Sus scrofa: one gene and its partner. The protein of the gene in region 2 interacts with the protein of the main gene of each other region in a pairwise test. Links are inferred from orthologs where the notes say so. Each region holds a gene or a part of one and is shown on either strand. Other genes may lie near its edges.

What was found.
Region 1: the proteins of ANKRD40 (region 2) and AHCY interact in binary tests that used the Homo sapiens proteins (3 or more experiments, as listed by UniProt). The two-hybrid records come from large-scale screens. The link is inferred for Sus scrofa from reciprocal best matches to the Homo sapiens genes ANKRD40 and AHCY.

Annotation. Positions count from the first base shown.
Region 1 is NC_010459.5:37,730,873-37,734,387, forward strand, and holds part of AHCY (adenosylhomocysteinase), read right to left. Parts: intron 3,451-3,515; coding exon 3,301-3,450; intron 2,250-3,300; coding exon 2,137-2,249; intron 1,680-2,136; coding exon 1,472-1,679; intron 1,383-1,471; coding exon 1,295-1,382; intron 1,194-1,294; coding exon 1,076-1,193; intron 1-1,075. UniProt on the Homo sapiens protein: Catalyzes the hydrolysis of S-adenosyl-L-homocysteine to form adenosine and homocysteine. Binds copper ions.
Region 2 is NC_010454.4:26,992,946-26,997,072, reverse strand, and holds the start of ANKRD40 (ankyrin repeat domain-containing protein 40), read left to right. Parts: upstream 1-1,312; 5' UTR 1,313-1,551; coding exon 1,552-1,685; intron 1,686-4,127.

The DNA.
Region 1 (3,515 bases), on a different chromosome or scaffold from region 2:
AATATTTATTAAGCAACTCTGAACTGCAGACCTCTTAGATCTGCTGTGAGAATTTAAAGAGCTGCTATGTGCAAAGCACTTAGTTTAAGTACTACTGATTAGTTACTGTTATTATTGTTGTTGTTATTATTATTGGCAGGTGCCCCAGGCTGAGAACATAAACAAAACCGTGTGTGTGTGTGTGTGTGTGTGTGTAACTATGTATGTACATGTGTACGTATAATTTTATCACACTTAATCCTACTAAGAGCCCTATGATTTAAGTACTACTATCATCCCCATTTACAGATATAAAACTGAGGTTCCCTGATGGCATAGTGGTTAAGGATTCAGCATTGTCACTGCTGTGGCTCAGGTTTGATCCCTGGCTGAGAACTTCTGCATGTCACAGGTGTGGCCAAAAAAAGAAACAGAAAAAAACCTGAAGTTTAAAAAGGTAACTCACTTGTCAGAGCTACACATTAGCAAGTGGCTGCAATTTGAGCCTGGACAGTCTAAAGACAGGCTCCATGTTCTCGATCTCCATGCTTATTTAGTAAAAAGCTAAATACAATGGTGCAGCCTTGGCTGCACATCAGAATCATGTTGGGGATTTAAAAATGGGAATGCTGGAGTTCCCATTATGGCTCAGTGGTTAACGAGCCCAACTAGTATCCATGAGGACATGGGTTCGATCCCTGGCCTCACTCAGTGGGCTAAGGATCCGGCGTTGCTGTGAGCTGTGGTGCAGGTCACAGATGCAGCTCGGATCCTGTGTGGCCGTAGTTGTGGCTGTGACGTAGGCTGGCACCTATAGCTCCGATTTGTCCCATAGCCTGGGAGCCTCTATATGCCATAGGCGCGGCACTAAAAAGACAAAAGACGAAAAATAAATACATAAAATAAAAATGGGGGTACCTAGGCATCACTCCAAGACTTCAATGTAAGTAGCCTTGAAACCAGGCCCTCTTCCTCCCCATCCACTGCCCAGGTTTGTCAGACCTCTGCCTCTGCCCTCCTTGGTGTCCAGCCCACGAGCACGCCCCACCTTGGCACTCCATCCGCTATCCCAGCTGGCAGGGCTGGGGCTTCTCACCTGGGGCTTGATGTTCACCTTCTCCACTGCGTTCTCGTTCAGCCACTTGACATCGATCTCCACGTCAAAGTGTCCGATGTTACACACGATGGCGTCATCTTTCATCTGCTCAAAGTGCCTGTGGGGGAGCCCCAGCCAGTGGCAGGCTGTGAGGGACAAAGAGCAGTCCCAAGTGTGCCCCCTCCCTCACTCCCTGGACCCACCCCACCTGGCCCCTACCGGCCGAGGATGATGTCGATACAGCCCGTGGTGGTGACAAAGATGTTGCCCTCCTGACAGGCCTCATCCATGGTGGTCACCTCATAGCCTGTGTAGAGACAGTATCTGTGGGTCACCCAGAGTGGCTTCCCCCTCCTCTGGCCCCGTGGCTGACAGCCGACCCTCGCCCTATCATACCCTCCATGGCAGCCTGAAGTGCGTTGATGGGGTCGATCTCCGTGATGATGACGCGGGCCCCGAAACCCCTCAGGGCCTGGGCACAGCCCTTGCCTACGTCGCCATAGCCCGCTACCACTGCCACCTTGCCCGCAATCATCACGTCTGTGGCCCGCTTGATGCCATCTATGAGGGACTCCCGGCAGCCATAGAGGTTGTCAAACTTGCTCTGAAAGGAGAGGGGGCAAGGGGGCGATAGGGCAGGCAAGGCCCCAGGGCCTCAGACCCACTCTCAACATCTCAGCCTTGTGGGCCTTGGGCTGCTGATCACCTCCCAGGATTTCTCTGGGACCACCAGCTAATGTGTTCATATGCTCTTTGCCCTGTTCAGCCCCAAGACTTTCTCCCTAGCCCTTCTCTGCCAGTCCACGTTTCCTGAGGATCAACCACGAGGGACTGCCCAAAGAATCGGCTTCACTTTAAAGTTCTCGCTGCCCAGCTCTGAAGATCACTATGTAGTTCTTTGCCTCTTTAATGCACTTATTACCGTCCATCTACAACCCCTTCCCCCCTCAAATGAGGGCTAAGTCCCTAGCCTGCAGCCTTCCAAGGGGACTTTCTTCAGGGCTTATTCCTGAGCTGCACTGGGAACCAAGACTACAGCCATCACTGTCCCACAGGCTCACCTTGGTGACAGAGTCATTAACGTTGATGGCAGGCACCTTCAGGATCCCGTTGGCCTTCATCTTGTACAGGTTGTGGACTCCCGTTGTGGTCTCTTCAGAGATGCCTCGGATGCCTGAACAAGAGGGGACGGGGAGAACCTCAGGCCAGAAGGGGCTGCCCAAGGGATGGGGTGGCCTCTGGGATGAGACCCCAAGAGAGAGCCCACATCTCAACTCACCCCATTTCCTCATCTTTGCCTCCTAAAACCACTCTTTTTTTTTAGAGTCCTGTCTTCTGTTACCTGTAGCACAGTCTACTCATCACCTAGGCCAGCATGATGATGGAGGTGTCACCACCATCACCAGGCCTAATGATTCTACCTCCCAACAGCTCCCAAACCTTCCACTCCTGTTATCACTGCCCAAGTCCCTGCCATCATCATCACTTGCCTGGTCTCCCAGCCACAATCCATCCTCTACACAGCAGCCATTTTTTACATGTACATTTTCAGAGAAGTCTTTCAATACCATCCAGTTACTTCCCTTTGCTCTAAGGGTCAAGCCAAAACTCTTTTCTCTTAGTCTATTAAATCTTCACACACTTGATCTTCATTAATGCTCCAGCCACATCCTGTAATTCTCCCCAGTGAAGAAAGGTGCCATGCTAACTTTCTGTTGCCCAAAATGAACAGTCTCTCCTTTCCCGCCTCAGGGCCTTTGTATTCACTAATAGCATCCCCTACTTTCCTCCCCACCCAGCTTTTAACAAACAAAGCTGACTCCTCCCCTGACCTGGTGGTTTTTTTTTTCGTTTTTTTGTTTTTTCTTTATGGCCACACCTGCACTATGTGGAAGTTCCCAAGCCAGGGACTGAATCCAAGCCAAAGCTGAGCCAGACCACAGATCCAACCCTCGCCTCTGCAGGGACCCGAGCCACTGCAGTCAGATTCTTAACCCACTGCACCACAGTGGAAACTCCCCTGCCCTGGTCTTACACTTGCCCTTGGACCACAGCATCTCAGCCAGACCTCCCCTAGCCATCCCAGCTCACCTGCTATCCTCCTATCTTCCATGGAATCTGCTGCTCGAGGCACTGAGTGTCCTGCTGGGCCTGCTACTTTCTCGTGAGTAAGCAAGTCCCCATTTACACCACCAGCACCCAGCCCACCCACTGGGCCAACTCACCTGACAGGAGCTCTGGGTACTTGGTGTGGACGAGGTTGGTAAGGTCACCACCATCATCCAGGATCATGTTGAGGGGCCCATCCTTGAAGTACAGTGTCTGCTCAATGCACCACAGATACTCCTCGTCCGTTTCACCCTTCCAGGCATACACTGGAGAGTGAATGGCACATCAGGGTCTGGCCGTCCCCACTGGCACCTACTCCAGGGAACCACCT
Region 2 (4,127 bases):
CTATGTACTGTGTGAACGACTATCATAATAAACAAATAATAATGGTTTTTCTTAAACAGTAGCAAGAAAAATGCTTGCTGTGCAAACCCTGGGCTGCCCCCAAGGGAGGGAATTGAAAACTCCATGCCTAAATGTGTCACTTCCTATTTCGTCTCCTCTCTGATTTCAGTCCTTCCTCCTTTCCACCCCAGGTTTATTTCCTTAATCCTCCAGACCCCATCTGCAAGCTTCCATCCTGTGCCACATTGGAAGATCTCTCCCAGGCACCTGGGCTCAGCAAAGCCGTCCTTTTTTTTTCTCCTGCTGGGTAGTAAAGCAGTGCCAGCCCAGGCTCTGAGCCTCATTAAATTGATTAGGCAAAGAGTCAGGTAAAATGCTGTCTATACTTGCTCCGTGGCTCTGGCCAGCTCCGGATTATCAGGGAGGGGGATAACTCCAAAGCCTCTTTGGTGTTCTTCTTTTCTTTTTTTCCTTACATGGCTTTTGCGAAGGGTAATTAATTGTGATTACACGCAGTAATAAATTACAATGTATAGGCCTTGCGCACAATCTGTTTTTTTCCTGAAAGCCACGTTAGAAGAAATCTGTCTAAAATGAGATGTAAAACAACAGCAATTGAAATAATCGAAATAGGAGTTCCCGTCGTGGCGCAGTGGTTAGCGAATCCGACTAGGAATCATGAGGTTGCGGGTTCGATCCCTGGCCTTGCTTAGTGGGCCGATGATCCGGTGTTGTCGTGAGCTGTGGTGTAGGTTGCAGACGCGGCTCGGATCCCGAGTTGCTGTGGCTCTGGTGTAGGCCGGTGGCTACAGCTCTGATTCGACCCCTAGCCTGGGAACCTCCATATTCCGTGGGAGTGGCCCTAGAAAAGACAAAAAAAAAAAAAAAAAAAAAAGAAAGAATCGAAATAAAAGGTTCCAAGCACTGTCAAAGGAAGAAAAAACCGTGTAGTCTATTTCCGCAATAATGGGTGTATAATAGAAGGATCGGTTTCACCTCATTTTCCCATCCTGCTGGGCAAGAGTTGGCTCAGATAAGGAAAAAGAGCCAAACACACCAGTTATTTCTGATGCCCGGTAAACAGCCTGCGCCAGAGGAGAAGGCTTTCTGGCTCTCAAATAAGAGTTCTTCGCTTTACTTGTGTCTGTTCTCCTCCCTCCGAGCTGCGTGGTGGGGAGTTCTAAAAATAGTCGGTGAATCACCGCAGATAATACCGTGCAGCCGTTACATAAAGCGCCGGCCCGCGCGGGAGCCGGGGCCGAGGGTAGGAACGGAAAATATCTGGGTCACGGTTGTCACTCTGAATAAGTTCCCCCGGAGCCGGCCTGCGGGAGGCGCGGCCGGGAGGAGGCTTGGGCCCGCGGGCCGGGAACAGCAGGGGAACGGCGGGCGGCCCGCGGGAGGGAGCCGAGGCCCGGGTCGGGCGCGGGAGGCGGCGCGAGCGGGGCGGGCGAACTCCGCGCGGTCTCCCCATGGCGGGGAGCGGGCCGCCGCGGCGGCGACGCTGACCGGCCGGGGCGGGGCGGGGCGGGGGCCTGGGGCCGAGGGAAGATGAGCGCTCTGCTAGAGCAGAAGGAACAGCAGGAGAGGCTGCGGGAGGCCGCGGCCTTGGGGGACATTCGGGAGGTGCAGAAACTGGTGGAGAGCGGGGTGGATGTGAACTCCCAAAATGAGGTCAACGGCTGGTAAGTGGGGAGCGGGGGAGGCCTAGGGTCAGCGCTGACAGCCCGGGACGCGACCTCGGCCTAGCGCTGCCCCAGACGCCCGCTTAGGCGTGGCCGGGCGCTCCGGGCCTCCGAGGCTGTGCGCCCTGGAGGCCAGCCCTGGTCCCCCTGCTTCGGGTAGTCTTCGGCGCGTCGTGCCCAAGTCCCGGCCCACGTGGTCCTGCCCCGGCAGCGCCCACCCGAACCCTGGCGCCCCGCCGTTCCCCCCCCCACCCCCTGCCCCAAAACGTGGCTGGAACGGCGCTGGCTGCGAATTCTCACCCTAAGATGGAGCTCACCCCAGTTTGAATCCTCAATTTTCCTGAAGAACACATCTGTGCAGAGCAAAAAGCATAAAACAACTGAGCATATATGAATCTTATAAACTAACAATTTCTTTTCCCAAGACTAGGGAAAAAAAATCACTTGTATTCTTCGTGGGCTTCCCCTCTCACTACAGCAGTGATTTGCTGCTACCTCCAGCTGCCTGTTGCAGGAAGACTCATTCATTTATTCTATAGAGTGTTTTGTTTTGTTTTCTTAACAACAGTTTCAAATATGAGACTTTATCCAAGACTTTAGATGCCTGCCTGCCATGGAGTTCTTCCCAACTAATAAGAAGTCTCAGTTTAAGATGTGCTGGTGGTGAAATGTTTAGTATTAAGTTACAGAATGTGGTATTATTCTGCTCTCTTAACATCTAAATTTTAATTTTTTTACTTGGTCCAGGTAATGCTTAACCAGCCTATTTTGCTAGCTGAGAGTTAAAGTGAGTTTGCAAATGTTATTTACCTATCTGTCTATCTATTTATTTCTGGCTGCCCCTGCAGCATTAGGAAGTTCCCAGGGCAGAGATGGAACTGCGCCACAGCAGTAACCAGAGCAGTGACAACATCAGGTCCTTAACCTGATGAACCACCAGGGAACTCCACAAATGTTTTATTTTTTAAAGGGGAATCATACATTTTAAGACCAAAAGGGACGTGGGAGATGGGTTCAACCCCAGAGAATAACTTGCCCTAGGTCACACAACAATTTTAATAAAATAGCCAGGACCAGAATCACCATTTCCTAACTTCCTCACAAAGCCTACCTAACCTCCCTCCCTACCCTAAAGAAAATAGCCTGGGTGTCTGTCCGGAAAGCCAGGAGACAGTAGAAACTGCCTTTTTGTTTTGTTTAAAAGTGTTTGCAAACTAGCTTGCTTTTCTGTGTGTGCCATTTCTAGCATTGCTCTGTGGTTCATGAGCTGTCTTCATTGTTTTGGCACTGGGAGGCAGTGTTGTGTAGAAGAACGAGCCTGCTTTCCTGCAGGATCTTCTCCATTCCTGCTTAACAATACAATCTTGCTCACATCACTTAATTTTCCAGTTACTTCAGAAGAGTATTGTCAACATTTAAGAAGATGAGGCAAGACATACCTAGCTAACATTTATTGGGCTTGCCCTGTAGCACAAAGATTCCACGTGCTTTATTTCATTCACATCTACTCAAGGATATAGCTATTGTTATTCTCTCCAATTTGCAAATGAGGAAACTGAGGCTCAGAAAGATTAAGTCATTTCCCCAAGGTCACAGAATTCATAGTAACTAATGGAGCTGGGAAACAAATCCAGAATCTGACTCCAACCACCCTCCTTTATTTGACTGCACCTGCCACGGTAGGTGGAATTTCCTGAGCCAGGAATTGAACATACACCACAGCTGTAACCAGAGCCACAGCAGTGACAACGCCAGATACTTAACCTGCTGAGCCACCAGGGAACAACAAACCCTGCTTTCGTTTTTTTTTAGGGCTGAAACCTTCGGCCTATGGAGGTTCCCAGGCTAGGGGTCAAATCAGAGCTGTAGCGGCCAGCCTACGCCACAGCCACAGTAATGCCAGATCCGAGCAGTGTCTGTGACCTACACCACAGCTCCCGGCAACGCCGGATCCTTAGCCCACTGAGCGAGGCCAGGGATCGAATCCGCAACCTCATGGTTCCTAGTCGGATTCATTTCCACTGCGCCACAGCAGGAACTCCCTGGCTTTCATAGATTTAATTGAGGAAGATGTCTAATAGGACTTCAAATTCAACATGTCCAAGGTTCAGTTCCTGGTCTCCCTCATACCCCTAACTGCCCCCAGCCTGCTCCTGAGTTCTCCTCTCAGCATCTGAGTGCACAGGCCAGAACTTTTAGTGCCTCCTGTCTTTCCCTCACATCCCACATTCAATCAAGCTGCTAATACCGCCAGCTCCACCTTCAGGATATAGTTGGAGTCTGACTGCTTCTCACTAACTCCACCACTACACCTCTGGTGCAAAGCCACCATGGTTCTGTCACTTGGATTAAGGCAGTAGCCTCCTAACTAGACTCCTTGCTTCTACCCTTCTATCCTATATCTTTTCTTAACACAGCAGCCAGGAGGATCCTGACTGAAAA